2 linked regions of the Diceros bicornis minor genome follow. The protein of the gene in region 1 purifies or fractionates together with the protein of each later gene. This does not show direct contact. Links are inferred from orthologs where the notes say so. Each region holds a gene or a part of one and is shown on either strand. Other genes may lie near its edges.

The links.
Region 2: the proteins of PPP2R2D (region 1) and PPME1 purify together in Homo sapiens (affinity purification with mass spectrometry; 4 studies listed by BioGRID and IntAct, counting the BioPlex papers as one, with this or other methods). This does not show direct contact. The link is inferred for Diceros bicornis minor from reciprocal best matches to the Homo sapiens genes PPP2R2D and PPME1.

Annotation. Positions count from the first base shown.
Region 1 is NC_080745.1:93,944,916-93,954,277, forward strand, and holds the start of PPP2R2D (serine/threonine-protein phosphatase 2A 55 kDa regulatory subunit B delta isoform), read left to right. Parts: upstream 1-5,709; 5' UTR 5,710-5,791; coding exon 5,792-5,798; intron 5,799-6,343; coding exon 6,344-6,436; intron 6,437-9,362. UniProt on the Homo sapiens protein: Substrate-recognition subunit of protein phosphatase 2A (PP2A) that plays a key role in cell cycle by controlling mitosis entry and exit. Involved in chromosome clustering during late mitosis by mediating dephosphorylation of MKI67.
Region 2 is NC_080746.1:56,784,167-56,792,710, forward strand, and holds the start of PPME1 (protein phosphatase methylesterase 1), read right to left. Parts: upstream 3,808-8,544; 5' UTR 3,699-3,807; coding exon 3,598-3,698; intron 1-3,597. Other genes in the region: C2CD3 (C2 domain-containing protein 3), read left to right, coding at 4,018-4,087, 7,020-7,289. UniProt on the Homo sapiens protein: Demethylates proteins that have been reversibly carboxymethylated. Demethylates PPP2CB (in vitro) and PPP2CA. Binding to PPP2CA displaces the manganese ion and inactivates the enzyme.

The sequences.
Region 1 (9,362 bases):
CTCCCTGCAGCATGTCCCCTGCCTTCCCTGCCACACCTGGAGCAGGGTCCAGGCCTTTGTTGAGTTTGCTGCCGTCTGAGGTCTCCGGCCTCACCCTCCACTCTCACATTCTTGAACTCGCCTAGGGGTGTGTGTGAGTTTCCTGTGGCTGCTGTAACAAATTCCCACAAACTTAGTGGCTTAAAAAACACAAACGTGTCCTCTTACAAGTTCTGCAGGTCAGAAGTCTAAAATCAGTCTTTTGGGGCTAAAATCAACGTGTCGGCAGAGCTGGTCCCTCTGGAGGCTCCGGAGCACCCACCCCCCGCCCTCTCAGCTCCTTGGGGCCCCCCGGAATTCCTTAGCTCGTGGCCACATCACTCCACCCTCTCCTCCTGCCTTCCTCCCTGATGACGTTGGGCCCACCCAGATAACAGAGTGGACCTCCCCACCTCCAGATCCTTCCGAGTCACGTCTGCACAGTCTCTTTGCCGAATGAGGTCACACAATCACTGGTCTCGGGGATTAGGACATGGACATGCTCGGGGGCCACCATCAGCAGACCACGGGTGCCGCAGTGTCCCCGACCCCTCAGGGCAGGCTGAGGGACTGTGCAGGGCCCCTCCTGACTGTGCCCCACCCTAGCTGCCCCTCAATGGCCCTTTCTCTCCCAGCACAGACACAGGAGGGTGGGCGGACTCAGCAAGCGGTCTCTCACATTCCCGTCTCACACCTGTGCTTCAGCTTTTCGTCCTGAACTGAACAAACAAGACTTTGAGATTTTGTCCCCAGGTCTACACGGAGGGCTGCCCCTCGGGGAAAAGGAGGCCCCCCCCAGTGGGAGAGGCTCCAGGGGGAGGAAGGAGGCGCAGGCTCAGCACCTCACAGACAACACCATCTGGCTGCAGGTGAGAAGACCTCGGACGCCCACCTGTCTCTGCCTCCAGGTGGGGAGCTTCAAGGGCACGCTGCCGGGGAGCCTGCTATTGCTTTTCTAACAGAGGAAGGAAACACCGAATCTGAAGAGTTGGATTCCTGCCAGTGGGCGGGGCTGTGAGGGAGGCTTGGAAGCCAGAGGGTGGAAGGGTTTGGTGGGCAGGTGAGAGGCTGCAGCCAGGAAGAAGGGGAGACTCCAAGGAGGGCCAAGGGGGTGATGGGAGCATGGGAGGAGAGAATGGGCTACAGGCAGCCATGTGTTTGGAGAGGTAACATCGGAACCCTTGAAAGGGAGCTGAGGGGATGGAATGATGAAGACACTGGCATGAAGCCGTCCCCTAGCCAACCTGCAAAAGGCCCAGGACGGACGACTCTCTGGACAGTAAAACCAGGAACAATTTCTCCACTGTGGCACAGGTTCACCTCGAGTGTTTCCTGTGGCAAAGCAACTGAATCAGCCAGAAGCAGCTGGATGCTTGCCCCGTCCCCCTCCCATCCCCACGCACAGACCCAGCCTGAGAGCGGGTTACGAGCCAGGTCAGTTCACACAGGCCACTGCAGGACGGCGTGATTCTGGCGAGGCAGACGCAGTTTGGGCAGAGGAAGCTCTGGGGTTCTCCCTTTGGTTTGCCCACATCATTGGGGCCTGGGCATCATCCACCACGTTGTTTCACGTTTTATGGTATCTGGGCCCCTCCTTGAGGTCAGACCTGAGCTTAAACTGTAGTCGATGCCGAGTGATTGTGATGCCTGGGCAAGCGACTTAATCTCTCTTAGCCTCAGCTCCCTCATCCAAAAAACGGGATAATAATCCTTAGGTCGTAGGGTTCTGTGAGCCTTAAACGATACACGTGAAGTGCTCAGGGCTGTTCCAGACTCTCGGACAGCATCCATGGTACAGCTGAGAGCACAGACCGATCCCTCCATGCTTGTTCCTGCTGGGCCCTCGGGAGGTGACCCACACCTATGCCCAACAAATACAGACATGGTTAGTGATCGACTGCTTGCACATGGCTACAGCTTCAATGTGTCCACGTGAATCAACGACTGAACTAAATCCTAGACCCACAGACAGCAGAGAACAGCAAGAGGAATGAGTAGCTACGAGTCTGTTTATTTCACACGCACACATTTAGTTTTCTTTTGCTGCCTTAACAAATTACCACAAACTTAATGGCTTAAAACAACACCTGTCTATTATCTCACGGTTCTGGAGGTGGGAAGCCAGCACGAGATGGCCCTGCTGTTCCTGAAACCCTGATGTTCCCTCTACCTTGCTGAGTTCAGCATGGAAAGATTTTTTTTTGAGGAAGGGGGGTTGGGAGAAGGGAGGGGGACAGCCCAATGTGGCAGGGTCAGAGAAGAGAGGCCCAGGAGACAGGAGCAGCATCCGGCGGGGCTTCCTTTTCAATTCAGCAAAGCACAACCAGTCTGGCCATAGCCTCTCCTTCCTTCCTTCTTCCTCCTTCCTTCCTCCCCTCTCTTCTTCTTTCCCTCATTTGTTTTTCTCCTTCCTTCCTTTCCTTCATCATTTGGAGAAAAATTCATGGATCCAATCCTTTTTGGCAGGAGTAAAAAAAAAAGATGGGATGAGTTTAATGCCTTGTTGAGCTCCAGCAGTAAGGAGGCAGGTTATAAAGAGTCAGGGATGTTTACAGCAGATTTATTCATAATTACCAAAACTTGGAAGCAACCAAGACATCTTTCAGTAAGTGAACGGATAAATAATCTGTGGTACATCCAGACAATGGAATATTATTCAACAGTTAAAAGAAATGAGCTACCAAGCCATGAAAAGACATGGAGGAACCTTAAATTACTAAGTGAAAAAAAAGCCAACTCTAAGACGTTCTGGAAAAGGTAAAACTATGGAGACAGTAAAAAGATCAGTGGTTGCCAGGGATGAGTGGGAGGGGTGAAGAGAAAGAGCATAGAGGATTTCTAGGGCAGTGAAAATACTCTGTATGATACTATATTGATGGACACGTCATTATACATTTGTCCAAACCCACAGAATGTACACCACCAAGAGTGAACCCTACTGTAAACTATAGACTTCGGGGGATGATGTGTCAATGCAGGTTCATCCTTTAAAATTTGAGTCATCCCTGTTGTTTGTATGAGTTGTTCATTCCTTTTTATTACTGAGTAGTATTCCCTTGTACGAATACAGGGAGGCTGTAGATTCTAATACAGGCTGGATTCTAGATTCTAATACACACCAGGCATTTCACAATTTGGCTATGAGATCTAAAAATAATAAAACAAGAAAATTGCCTTGCAACACCCAGGGACTTGTAAACACCAGTTAGAATTCAGAGTAACTCACTGAGCTATTTAAAGTTCTTTAGCATCATAAAAAGGAATAGTTAAAAATCTCCTGCTGGGGCCGGCCTGGTGGCTTAGCTGTTAAGTGTGCGCCCTCCGCTACTGGCGGCCCAGGTTCCGATCCCGGGCGCACACCGACCCACCGCTTCTCTGGCCATGCTGAGACCGCGTCCCACATACAGAAGGATGTGCAGCTATGACATACAACTATCTACTGGGGCTTTGGGGAAAAAAAAAGGAAGAGGATTGGCAATAGATGTTAGCTCAGAGCAGGTCTTCCTCAGCAAAAAGAGGAGGATTAGCATGGATGTTAGCTCAGGGCTGATCTTCCTCACAAAAAAAATAAATAAATAAAACATTTAAAAAATAAATAAATAAAAATCTCCTGCTGGTCAGCTGATGCACAGTGGGACACAGGAAGGCAGCTCACTATTTTCACTCACTATATTACTTTTGTTGTTTTTAAATTTAATTTAATGGTAGCTAATTAACCAAAGAATACAGTTTAAACCAAAACTAATTATCTTGCCGTCACTTCAAAAGACTTATCTTTAATACACATTAAAGCAATTGTATATGAGACAGTCTGATAGTTAACTCAGTTTTTCAACTGCTCAGGGGCAGACTGCCTAAATCCACATGTGAAAAAAGGAGATTACAGCCCCATTTCTCTGCTCCTCTTCACAACAAAGGGTCGTCACTCAGTGGCTCCCATTCTTCTCTCACTTGCTCTTAAACCCCTCACACGGGTTTGCAGCGTCCAGTCCACAGCGGCCCCTCCCGTCCAGGTCAGGGATGGCGTCCCAACGCTACAGCCCAGGGGTCCGTCCTCGGCGCTCAGCCCGGCGTCTGGGGGCCGGCCCGCCCTCCCCGTCTGCACCGGGCTGGCACTCCACGCGTCGCGGTCGCCCCGTCCTCGGGCCCATCCGCCCGCCCGCGCGGCGGGGGCTCGCGCGGTCTCTCCGGCTCGCAGAGCTCCCCGACGCGCTCGCCTCCCGGACTCGCCCTCCAGGCCCCGCGTCCCCGCGCGCCCCAGGCTCGTCTGTGCCACGGCCCGGGCCGGCTCCGCAGTTCAGACCCGCCTCCCGGGGTCCCTTCTCGGCACCTCCGTCTCGGGGCCGGGAAAGCCCCTTCCCACCCGCGCTCCGACCCCGAGGGCAGTCATCCTAGGTCCGTCTGCGTCTCACGCGGCACCTGCTTCATCCGTGAGTCCCAGCGCTGTGCCGTCCACAGCCTTCTCGCTGAAACCTGAGCGCTTCCCAGCCCTCTCCCCCGACGCCACGCCCTCGACCACTCGGCCCGCATCCCCGCCTCCATGACCGGCTGACCTCCTCCCTGGGCTCCCCGGTGTGACCCTCGGGTGCCTCGGCCTGTTCTCAGCAGAGCAGCCCCAGCGGCGCCTTAGGGCGCAGGTCAGCCACGACCCCTCCGCTCCCCGCACAGCCCTCCCCGGACGTCGCGGCCGGGCCCGGCCTCCTACGGTCTGTCCGTCACCCGTTTACTTCCGCGGCCCCCCGCTGCGTGTCCCTCCAGCGCCGGCTGACTCACACGTGCCGTCTGCCCCGCTGTCGTCTGTCCCCTAGAGAGCGGGCTCCCCGAGGGCCGGCTCTCTGCCGTCGCCGCCGCCCCCTGGACGGGACGGGACGCGCGCCCGAGGCAGCAGCGGATCCGCCCACGGCGCTCGCGGCGCCGACTGGCCCTGGCTCGGACGGCCGTCTGCTGGGGGGTACGCCAGCAGTCACGCCGGTGACTGCAAGCTCACGTCACCGAAAGGACACACAAACGGGGGGTACGGATACCCCCCGTACGCCACGGACACACGCCCACGAATGAAGCGACGATGGCCACGGGGAGCCGCAACAGCGAACGTTTGCCTAAGATCGTACGGCAGTGTTGTAGACAACGCGAGCTCTGCGCAGGGCCGCCAGCGAAGGCGGACGCCGACGCCCCCGGACTCGCGTCCGAGGAGAGGGACTGGCAGCCCGGCCAGGGGGTGGGCCGGGAGGACGCGCTCAGGTGCGGCGCGCTGCAGGTGCGGGGCCGGCCCGGACGCTCCGCCCGCCGACGTCGAGCGCGTCCCCATTGGCTGCTCCGCGGGGAGGGGCGGGGCCGCCTCCAGGCTTCCGGTAACTCCCCCGGAGCAAGGCGGGCGGCCGACGGCGGCCCCGGGGCTGGTCTTCAGGGTAGCGCCGGGCCGGGGCGGTGCCAAGCCCGGGTCAGGGGGCGGGGCGCGGCTCGCGCAGGCGCAGTCGGTGCGTGGCGCGCCCCCGGCAGCCCCCGCGGCCGCGCGCCCCGTCCCGCCCCGCAGGGCGCAGGGGAGCTCTCCCGGCGGCCCCGCCCCGCCCGCGGCCCGCGGCGGAGGCGGAGGGGGATGACGTCATCGAGCGGGGCGACGGCCATTGGGCGCCATTTTGAAAAGGGAAAAATCCCTCCCTGGCGGCGGCGGCGGCGCCGGCGGCGGCCGGGCTGAGGTGCTCGGACGGCAACAGCGCGGAGGCCGCCTCTTCCCTCCGCCGCCGTCTCGGCGCCCGCCCGCTGGCCGCCGGCCATGGCAGGTGAGAGGGCCGCGCGGGGTGGGCCGAGGGCACCGGGCAGAAGCGGGGGGCGCGGGGTGCAGGAACGAGGGGGTGCGGGGGGCAGGAGGTGGGGCGCGGGGGGCGCCGGGGCAGGAGCTGGGGGCGCCGGGGGAGTGGGGGGCGCTGGAGCAGGACCTGGGGGCAGGAGTGGGGCAGCAGCAGGGGGGCGCGGGGGGCAGGAGCGGGGGGCGCCGGGGCAGGAGTGGGGTGCAGGAGCGGGGGGCGCGGGGTGCAGGAGCGGGGGGCTCCGGGGCAGGAGTGGGGTGCAGGAGCGGGGTGCGCCGGGGCAGGAGCTGGGGGAGCCGGGGAAGGAGTGGGGGGCGCGGGGTGCAGGAGTGGGGGGCGCCGGAGCAGGAGCTGGGGGCAGGAGTGGGGCAGCAGCGGGGGGGGGGCGGGGGGCAGGAGCGGGGGGCGCGGGGTGTAGGAGCGGGGCGCCGGGGGCAGGAGCGGGGGGCGTGGGGCAGGAGCAGGGGGCGCGGGGCAGGAGCGAGGGGCGCGGGTGCTGACGCCGGGTGTGTTCGCAGGGGCCGGGGGCGGCGGCTGCCCCGCGGGCGGCAACGACTTGCAGTGGTGCTTCTCGCAGGTCAAGGGGGCCATCGACGAGGACGTGGCCGAAGGTGAGGTGGCGCACCTGGGCTCAGGGCGGGCGGGCTTCCTCGCCCCGGGCCGACCCCACGTGCTCTTCCCGGCCCGGCCCTCCTGGGACCCCGGTCCCGGGGCCCCTCCCGCCCGGTGGAGCTGTGTCGGGGCGCGTGTCCTGCGCACCGCGCTGTGAGCGTGTGCACCGGGGTCCAGTCCATAGACAGGAGACAGGCCCGCAGGGGTTATGTAAGGAGCCCAAGGTCACGGAGGCTGCAGGGATCTCGGTCTTCCGAGTGGGTTCTGGGTTCTTCACATTGCAAGTGGCTGCTTCCTGCATTTGGTGGAACTGCGGAAATAATTGCAGAAATTGGGGACTCGAGAAACATAAAATTGGGATAACTGCAGAAAAGCAAGAGTGGAGTGGGCAGTGGTCCTGGACTAGGTCGGGAGGCCTCACTTCTAGACCCAAGCTTTCTGTAATCACCTGTGTACTCTTGGGCACGCTGTTTTGCCTCAGTTTCTTCATCTTTAAAAAGGAGGTTGGACCGCTTGATCCTTAAGGTCGCTTTCTAAGGTACTAAAATTCTTGAAGTTTGTTAGCGATTCCTTCTCCCTCTCCAGTGATGTATTTTAAAGTTCAGACTGCAGATTTTACCTTTAACCTTATCGTATTACTTGAAGTTGGTTGGTCTTTTCCTTAATCATAGCCTTGAACTAGCCAAGGCGCATAGTTGTAGGGTGTTGGGCCGGAAGCTGGGGACTGTCTCCTGCCGCAGTTTCCCACAAAGCTACATGCCATCTTAAAGTGTAAACCACCTCTCTTTCCCGTGTTCACAGCCGAATGCAAAGCTGATTCTTAGCAACTCAGAGGTTTCATTAGAGCTTTAGAGTGACTTTTTATTGTTCAGCCATTTAAGTGAGCGCTGCGAACCTTTAACATTCTCTTGAAAACGAGTTGTCTTTCCACGAAGTGCCCCTTCCTTGCCCCAAGTAGCTAACAGCCTCTAGTCAGCTGTCTTGCCACTTTTCCTCCACCTTGGCCCCTCCCATGACCTTTTGCTCCCTCCTTCTCCACCCTGCACCTCTCCCTGGCAGTATGACAGTCTGGAGGCCCTTGGCCCCATCGGACAAACAGTACCCGGATTATTAAGCAAGTAAAACTGTGCTGTAAGGAATTTGTAAAGATGTATATGGTTTGAGATTGAAACTGGGTGATTTTATATAAACTAAATAGTGTATTGATTCTGTTTCTTTTATATTCATTTAAGATATACTACTTTTTTTTTTTCATTTTGCATGTGGCACATGGGTGACACTCAAAATTTCTATTGGGAGTAAAGCAAAACCTGTTTGTTTAGGGGTAGGGAGGTGGAACGGCTTAATGCCTGTCTTAATTTCTGGTTTCTTTCCCTTTTTATGGCTTTTGTTGACAAGCTGAATGAATTAAAACTTATCTCTAACTAAAATGGTGTATTTTAAGTGATGTTAAACTTTGAAAACAGTATTCTTCCTTAAAAAAAATCTTGACAGAAATATTCTGTTCTCAGAATTAAACTAACTGGGACTTTTTGCGGTTTTAAACCCTTTCTTCAAGTAAAGTTTTGAATACATCTAAAAGTTTGGTGTTTCGAGTTATCTTTTCTGTAAGATTGCTTTGTAGTAATTACTCCTATGTTTTTTGATTGCTGTATGTATTCAGAGCTTTCTGTCTTAATCCACTTATGCTTTGGCGTTAGTAACCCGTTGGGGCTAGCATATTCATAACTCGTCATCCTTTTGTCGAGTAGTTGTGAGAGTGTTCATTTGGATTGTATTATTACCGTAAAAGTCGGTGATAAAGAAGGAGAGCGTAATTGTTAGCAACTACTGATTGTTAAGCAATGAGAATAAAGAAGCTGGCTGTGCCCAAACTCAACCTTGATGAAGAAAGGTGGATAAGAGATAAATAGGAGATGAGTAATTTAAGGGAGGTTATTGTACACTGATAGCTGGGCTGTAAAACCTAAGGTATAGAAAATTGACTTGTTTAGGTTTGTGGTTTGTGAGGTGTTTTGTTCTTGAAGGTTTTGTTCTGCTTTAGGCTCTGCTTTGAAGAGTTCCACTGTAACCCTGCACTTTGGACCGTCTTTCTGCTTTCGTCTGCAATGGGTGATCGGAAAGTGAGTGAGATGGAGGCGAGGGTCCTCTCCTTACCTGAGTGAGGACAGCGCCTAGTGAGCGTGAGGTGGTGCCAGGGGTACATGTGACTCCCCTGATTTGAAGATTGAGGAATGAGTACAGTGGAGAGAGGATTGTGATTTCCTTTTGGTTTTTAAAACTAATAGGTTGGGGGGACTTGAATCATAACTCCTGAAGAAAGTATTGTGTGTGTAAAATTGGATGGCTTTTTTCCTTTTGTAAAGAATAGGGTTTTGCTTGTGGGTCAGGTCAGCCATGGTGCTATCAGGGATTTCCCATCTCCCTGCAAGTAGGAGTGCTGGGCTCAAAAGGAAATTAGTGACTGTCCTGCTGGTGACAAGATGCATGAGTGACAGTCACTGGTCACTTGCCTCTCTCCCCTTCCCCTAACAGCAAGCTGGCTGTGCCTGTAGTCATCACCCCTGAAGGTGGAGTGGGTGAACTTTTATGCCTAGATGAGCAAGAGTCAAAATAGTGAAGCCAGGGGGAGGCTTCCAGAAGAAGCGAGAAGTTGTTTCTTAGCCTGTGCCTCCAAATACTTAGGCCCTACATGGTGACACCTTGTGGGAAGTTGTTGACTGTGCAGGTTTTTTGTGCGTGACATTTAGGCACCATCACCCAGCCCCTGCTCCCCTTCCTGGGACAGCTTGCACTGGGTGAACATCTTTTGCAGATGTCACACGATATCATAGTCCCTGGCTTGTCTGTCTTCAATAGAGTCTGAGCTTCTCAAGCTTGAAGCTTGAAGAGGACCCAGTCTGGAGGTGGTGATGGCTCACAGTT
Region 2 (8,544 bases), on another chromosome or scaffold:
TTCATAAACAGACCCAAATCTATGTGGAAATGTAGTATATGATAAAGATGTCATTTTAATCAGTGGGAAAAATGGCTTATTTTTATTGCGGTGAAATTCATATAATGGGAAAAGGATTTTTTAATAAATGGTGTTACAACAACTGGACCCCACAGAGCCCTGTGAGGACACATCTAGAAGACTGTTGTCTATGAACCAGAAAGTGGTCCTCACCAGATACAGAATCTGCTGGCACCTTGCTCTTGGAATTCCCAGCCTCCAGAACTGTGAGAAATAAATTTCTGTTGTTTATAAGCCAGCCAGTCTACGGCATTTTTGTTATGGCAACCCTAATGAACTAAGATACCAGTTGCAAGTGGGGATCCCAAATCAGAGTAGCTCCAAAAGCTTTAATAAAAAAGTTCAAAATCACTGTTTTTGGCATCGTCTACTGGCATCTATCAAGGAACAATAAAACCAGGATTTCAGGCCTTACCCAAGAGAAAGTGTTGGTGTTCCGAAGAGGGAATAGATTCTAGAGACTAACCCTAGATTGAATCCTGGTTCTGCCACATACTAGTAGCGTAATCTTGAATCTCCAAGTCTGAATTTCCTTATTTATAAATTCAGGGAAATACCTACCTTGCCTGGTTATGGGCAGATTAAATAAAATAACATACATAAAACTACTACTACAATACCTGGCACATTGTACTTACTGAGGAAAAAAACGGTAATTGCTATTATTACATTATCCAGCAATACTCTGGAACTACTAAGTTCAATTTGAAAAACTAAATTATGGAAACTCAAGAAAAATCATGAACTCAAAACCACCCTGAATATGCAAACACATCTAAATAAGGTTTAGTGAAATTGAAGGCAAGAGATTATGAAAAATAGCTGAAAGAGTAAGTCATATAATACACTGTCAAAGGAACAGGCCCATCTTGAGTAACACACAGATGTGGGAGTGGAAAAAGATGGGAAGATAAGAAAAAAGGCAAGTGAGAAGGAGAAAGAAAGAAGGATGCTTTGCAATTGGTGGAAGTGAGAGTTCATAAATCAGGACTGACTGAGGAAAAAGAAAGACTGAACTCTATAGTATTTGCAAAGGAAAAAGATAAACAACTTAAAGTAAGTATTGCCAGGATAACAACTACGAATCTAAAAAACACAATGGGTCCCAGAGGCAAGAGATCCAAGTCCTAGTCCTCAGTGGCCCCACCACTAAGCTTCTAGGGTGTCTTAGTATGAGGAAGATTTGAGTTTCAGTTTTCTCAGTTATCAAGAGGAAATACTGTCCCCTGCCTCTTAGAGAATTCTGTATTCTGCAAGGTAAACTGAGTCTCAGTTTCCTTAACTATACAGTCAAGTAGTGAGATGAGATCATTTCAAAGCTCTCTTCTAGTTTTATGATTCTAGAGGGGACAGAGTCTATATTATTACTAACCTTAGAATTAGATGAGGCCTGCTTACGTTTCCATAAGGAAGAAGAAAAGGAAAATAAGCCACTTGAGGACCACATAAAATTCACCAACATATGCTCTTCTCTTCACAATACTATAAAGAAGCATCTTTCTAAAGAACTTTATTTTTCAGGATAAGCAGTTAACCTAAATTAAGAAGACCAAAGCATCTATTTAAGGAGGATAAGTTACTAACAAGTATACAATCTTCTAATCAGAAGATTTTCCCTTTATTTTCTCTTAGCATTTTTCCTCAGTTCTTCATCTTCAGAGAACTTGTTTTGACAAAGTGAGAAGCTGAGTTCTAAACTTATGTAAAGCATGTGTAGATATTAAAAAGCTAATAGTTTATATATTTTTACAAAAGAGTGCTGGTATACTTAAAGATCAAATTTTAGTTTAAGAAAGGCAGCAACTAAGATAAATATCAACAATAACTGTTACATTAATTTTATACTCCAGGTTAATTTTCCCAAATAATCTGTTATGGATCAGTTTCCAGATCCACCTTATTCATGTTAACACTCCTACCTTTCTGTCTTCCAAAGCCAAAACAATCTTCATTTTACCTTATATGCAGCCTTCTACCACCTCTTTCTATTGTGCATCCATCAACCTATCTTCTGTCAAAGTTTTCCCATTTTTCTACTGAGTATCATAGTTAGGTCCCCACTTTGATTCTTAGTTTTTTTCCCTGGTTTTTCCAATCATTCTCACCACCCCTCAACCCCATGGTTTTAATTTATAGGACTCTCCTTTCTCTTCATTCCTAAGACCTACTTTTACAGTACTGCATTTCCTATCCTCATCTCTTTTTTGATCAGTTTTTGTACATATTACTTCTTCAGAACCTAAGGTTTCTCTTCTCTAGTTCTTATTCCAAGAATATCTACCAACCTATCTCTAGAATCCCAAACACACACTCTTGACTACCTCATACCTAAGTATTCTTCCTACCCCTTTTCTCTTTACAATCACTAGTTTCCAGAATCCTGTCTGATACCACAAATACCACCCAAAACCAACTGCCAATTCAGTTCTCTGTGCTTTCCAGCAATCCCTCTCCCATTTTCAACTCATTATACTCTCTCTCCCACACCTAAATAAACCCTAACCTGGCACAAGCCATTCAACAACCTAAAATTCCAAAAGCCTCTCTCTTCAACACAGCCCCTCCCTTCCCAGTAAAGTTTCCCCCAAAACATTTTAAGTGGCTACTCTCAATACTTCATTAATTCTGAGTCTTACCTGAGTCTTATCAAACCCAGTACACAGCTTCCATCAGACCTATTTGCCCAGCAAAAGTCAACTGCCCAAATCTTCCTCTCTAAGCTTCCCAGACGTTACCTCTCTGCAGCACTCCCACTCACTAAACCCTATTCCTACTCACTTCTCAATTTCCAGAGCCCATGGCCACTCTCTAAGCTACTCAGCCCTCTCCCTCGTGACTCCCCTTATGTCCTACCCTCACTTTTCAGCACATTCCTATTATCCTTAATGGTCTTCTTGGCTATGTTCTCCATCTTTCCTTAGGCCTGTTTCCCAAGCTTTTCTCTCCTAAAAGACCTAATCTCCTAGTCACCCCCTCACTCCCTGAATCTGCCTCTTACACCTCTAGGAACTCGCTCTAGAACCTTCTGCTCCTAGCTCTCTTTCCTTCTCCAACCCTGCCTCAGGTGTTCTCTATTTCCCTCAGCTTTTCTAATATCTAGTTCTCAGTCTTACTCCTTCCAAATCTTTTCCTAGTAGTTCCCCTAAGTCCCCTCAACTCTTCTCAGTCATTCCCCATTTCCCTCAACCCTCCCTGGCAGATTCCCACCACCTTTGTCACCGCTCTGCTCCCCTTCCTCCACCCTCCTCCACACCTCCTTCTGGAGGTGCCTCCTACCTCTCTTAAATTACCCTCTCAGCTTCCTCAATCTTTGCCTCATTCCCTTCTCACTTAATACTATTTGTCCTCCAGTTTCCATTGACTTGGCGCCTCCCCTAGTCCCCAAATCTGCCTTCTACTCCATCCAAACGTCTCAGGCCGCCCCTAACATTCTCTCCTAGCCGCAGCCTCCCTTGCCTGCCGTTCTCAACGCCCAGAGACACCATTCTCCAATGGCCGGGGCCTGGCCGCCAGGGGGAAGGGGTACGAGTCACGTACCCCATTCGCATCTTGGCTCCGCTCTGACTGCCCCCGCTGCCGGGTAGAGGAGGGCGAGAGGGCAGGCGGCCGAGGTGCATGCTCTTCTCGAGGGCCGACATGAAGGGGAGGCCGCAGGTAGTTAAAACAGTAGTCGAAGCTTCGTCCCACGCTAAGTGCGGCCCAACCGGTCACAGCTCTCTCCCCTAAGCGACGCCCTGTCGCCTTTGGACAGCACCCAGCTACCGGCAGCACCGCCCACCGCCCACCGGCTCCGTAAGCCCCACCCCCTCCCCCCCTGCGCTTCCACCGGAAGTGCGCAACAGCCCTCCACAAAGGGAGCTGGGTAACGGAGTCTGAGGACACCTCAGACCCCCAGCGGAGAACGCGACGATCCTCCCCCGAGAGAGAAACGCTCCTGAAGACAATGCACCCTGGGCAATGGAGTTCTCATCGGGCGTATCCCTTTGCGCTTGCGCGAGTGGAGGCGACAGCGTCCAACCTCGCAGAGGTAGTAGAGCAAAGCATCCTGGGTGTTGTAGTCTGTTGCCGGGAAAGAGTCTTGGCGCCTTCCCTTTTCCCCGGTTCTCAGAGACTGTTAAAGGAAGAGCCGCTTCTTCCTGCCTCCCAGGCTGCCCAGCGGCGCCGGTTGCCGGGGAACGCGGGCGCCGTGGGAAACGATGGCGGGAGGCTACGGGTTAGGTGCTGGGGCAGGAGTTGAGCTGGTGAAGAAGAGCTCGGGCTCGTCATGAAACAACGAAAAGGCCAAGGGCCTGGGGGCGGCCGTGGCCGCAAGAAGAGAGGTAACCTGAGAGACCAAATGTTGAGGAAAGGTTAACAGGGTTGAGTTAGGGGAGCAGGGTGTAAGGAATTCGAGGGAGACCCCCACACCCGCCTCTAAGAAAAAAAGAAAAAAGACGGAGAAGAGAGAATAACCAGGAAGGAGAAGGTTAAAAGAGAGGGCAGTTGGCCCTCCAGCAAATGGAAAGGAAGTAGGTAGGGGCTGAAGTGGGGGCCAAAGTGGGCGAATAAATGTGGCTAGGTGAGGGCTAAAAGGATACATGTAGGACATTTCTCGAGGAAGGGCACAAAAAAATTCTAGGAATGTTTTTTTTTTGAGATATAATTGACATAGCATTATGTTCTTTTCAGGTGTACAACATAATGATTGGGTATTTTTATATATTGCAAAATGGTCACGACAGTAGCTCTAGGTAGCATCCATCACCATACGGGGTTACAAAAAAAATTTTTTTTCTTGTGATGAGAACTTTTAAGGTCTGCTCTTTTAGCAGCTTTCAAATACACAGTACACTGTTATTAACTATAGTCACTGTGCTGTACATTACATTCCCATGATTCAGGAGTGTTTTTGATAACAGTTAAATGTGTGTGTGTGTGTGTTGGGGGGAGGATATAGCTTTGGAGGTCCACATGGGAATGGAAGAAACATTAGTTGGAGAGGCAAATATGTCAGTAATCCTAATAGGCAAGGATCACGTTTTATACATTACTGAATCCCCAAGAACTAGCACAAAGCAGGACTCGGTAAATGTTATTTGAATGAGTGAAGCCTGAGACAGTCATGCAGCATGAAAGGCTATAGGCGGGAGTTGGGAAAGATAGTTGTGGAGGAGAGAGGAAGAAAGGGTGGGGTGGAGGTGAAGGCATGAGGATCTCTGGAGGATTGAGATGAAAGCATGTGTAGCAAGAGGACTTTTATCAGGTTAGAAATCTCAAGGAGAAACAAGCTCACCAAGGGAGTAGGGAAATGTTAGCTGCAGCAAGAACAGTCACCCCAGGAACCCAGGGCAGATCGGGAAACTGGAAATTGAACCTCTACAGAGCTGCCTCAAAAAAAAAAAAAAAACATTGGGCAACTCTGCCTTTTTACATTATAGGCAAAGGGGCGTTAGGAATAATAATAGTACATTAGGCCCTTAGGTTGAGGACTGAAGCTACAGTCTGGGAATGAATCTTATCCAAGCTGTTTAAAGATAACTAAGGCAGTTTTGAGGCAGCGTCTTTCCTGCCAGAATGATGGGAGGATATGAGACAGAAGCATGGAAGTGTTCAATACTGGTGCTCCCTGTGTCAAACCGGTCAAGAATATTTGGTTGATAGGAGGAAAATCAAAATAGAAATAACATAAGAATGTCCTTCTTGCTATACCACATGCATATGCAGTAATGTTCATATACACACCTTTATATAATTTTTATATTGAAACTAGTTATCCATAAAGATTATGATGGGTCTTTTCACCACTGTAAAGAGCAGAGGAATCCATAGAATTAGTTATATACATTCCTGATCTGATAGACTCCAGTTATTTTCTTCTTGTGTGCCATGACCACTCCCCAAGGGAGAAGTTAGAGGCATAGAAAGGTGTGTGTAACAGGAATGGTTTCTTAAATCTCCTCTAAATCATGGTTAGAAGATACTGTGATTGGAAGACAATCAGGGTCATTAATGGAAAGTTTTATAGAAAGTCATGATTAGTTGCCTCATGTAGATTTTATGATCTGTTTGAAATCCAATAAATATTATAAAAGCCGATAAATATTGTTAACTGAGAACTGTGCTAGAAAATAGTGGTAGAATCTGAAGAGGATAGTCTCTATCCCCATTGACTGTATGTTGTTGGCAGGAAAGAAAAGACATAGCCAATTTAAGGTGGACGTTGCTGAAATGCTGAGTTGTGTGGTATAGACTGAATCATTTGCGAGTCGAGTAAAGGGAGTTGTTGCTGTTTTATATTTAATGATGTTTTTAAAGTAAGAGAGTTAGGTAAAGATAACATAACCGTGGACATTGCAATAATCAAAACAACAGTACTTAGAAGAAAAATTTCAACTACTTTTGAGATTTTAGAGACCTATCTACTGTATTATTATATTTGTATTTTTCTTTTTTTTTTTTTATAATTTTATTTATTTCTTTCTTTTTCCCCAAAGCCCCAGTAGATAGTTGTATGTCGTAGTTGCACATCCTTCTAGTTGCTGTATGTGGGACACGGCCTCAGCATGGCCGGAGAAGCGGTGCATCGGTGCACGCCTGGGATCCGAACCCAGGCCGCCAGCAGCGGAGCACGTGCACTTAACCGCTAAGCCACGGGGCCGGCCCTATATTTGTATTTTTCAAATGGTGTCTTTCAATTAAAGAGGTGTTCATATTAGCATGTCTTAAATTGGTGTGTTCTTTACTTACAATAACCTGAATCAAACCATAAATACTAATTAGTTATCAGAGTGGCTTCAGTGACCATATAGGTTATTCTTTGGTCTGGTTTGCTAGTTACTTCTCCTGTATTAGAATAGGTAGGATAAACCTTCTTTCTGTAGAGACTAAAATGTTTTTGTGTGTTTTCATTCAAAAAGCAGGTTATATGTTTTCTGTATGTAGTCTGCATTTTGACTTAGTGTTCTTGGATTCCTCCACAGGTTTGAGTGACATTTCTCCATCTACAAGCCTACCACCTCTGGTCGAAGGCCAGCTACGCTGCTTTCTGAAACTTACTGTTAGTAAAGTCATCTGGAAGATTGCAAAGCCTCCCACTTGTGTACTTGTCCGAGTGAGATGGTGGGGAGAAACATCAGATGGAACCCTCTTTTCTCCCAGAGATACATTGCAGACTGAACCAAAAGCTGTGAGAACAACTACACGTTATGCTATTCGCTGTGGTCCAAAGCAGTTTACCTCCTATCTGACAGGTATATTTTTGTCTTATCATTTCACCTGCAGGCCTAATAAGCACGTGATTATGTTGTTAGCAGTAGGTGTTATCGTGTATCTAGTATCTATGGCATTGTTTTTTTTTTTTAATTAATTTATTTTTCCCCCAAAGCCCCAGTAGATAGTTGTATGTCATAGTTGCACATCCTTCTAGTTGCTGTATGTGGGACACGGCCTCAGCATGGCCAGAGAAGCAGTGCCTCGGTGCGCACCCGGGATTCAACCCCGGGCCGCCAGCAGCAGAGCGCGAGCACTTAACCGCTAAGCCACGGGGCCGGCCCTGGCATTGTTAATTGTTGAGGAGTCAAAGAGGTTTTATAATAGCCACTATTTATTGAGAGTATACTATATGCTAGCAGTTGATACATATTATTTCTAATCCTTAACGACTGCAAGATAGGTATTTTCTCTGTTTTATAGATAATGAAACTGAGGTTCAGAGAGATGAAATGAATATTCTCTAAGGTTACATAGTTGATAAATGGCAAAACTAGGATTTGAACCCAGTTCTGTCTGACGCCAAAACTCGTGCACTTCTCAGCGTGCCATGCTTTAAGTAATAACTGCAGTCTCTGCTCTGGGTCTTACTTTCCTTATGCTCAAAGAAAGAAGATATAGATATAAAATTTACTAATAGTACAAGATAATACATGCTAAATGCCAAATGAGTGGTTTAGTAAGTGAGTAATACAGGTTTTCAGAGAAAGGAAGGGTCCCTCTACAGGGATTTACAGGATCCACGTGTGCTGGACGTTGTGCTAGGCACCGTGGGGCTTACAAAAATGAATTTAAAAATTTAACCAGAATGGTATCTAATTCTAACTAAGTTCACAGAGAAGTTTAGTTACAATACTAGGTAGAAAGTGATAAGTGCTATTAAAGGATACCCATAGGTACTCTGGGTACTGTACACATAAAACTTAAATCCACTGGTGGTATTCTGATATAATTTAACAAATGAAGAGTGATTAGAAATTCTTCAGTAAGAGAGAAGATGTCTATTAATATGATAATCAACAGGTCAGACATTTATTTGTGAATCCTCTGGGATAATACAGAATGCATTAGACTTGGCATATGATGTTTAGGTTGGTGTTACTACCTTTGGGATTTTGGGAAAGTCCCTTCCCATTTTTGACCCCCATTTTCCTCATCTATAAAATGGGATCGAGGGCCAGCCCAGTGGTGCAAGCGGTTAAGTGTGTGCGCTCTGCTGCGGCGGCCCGGGGTTTG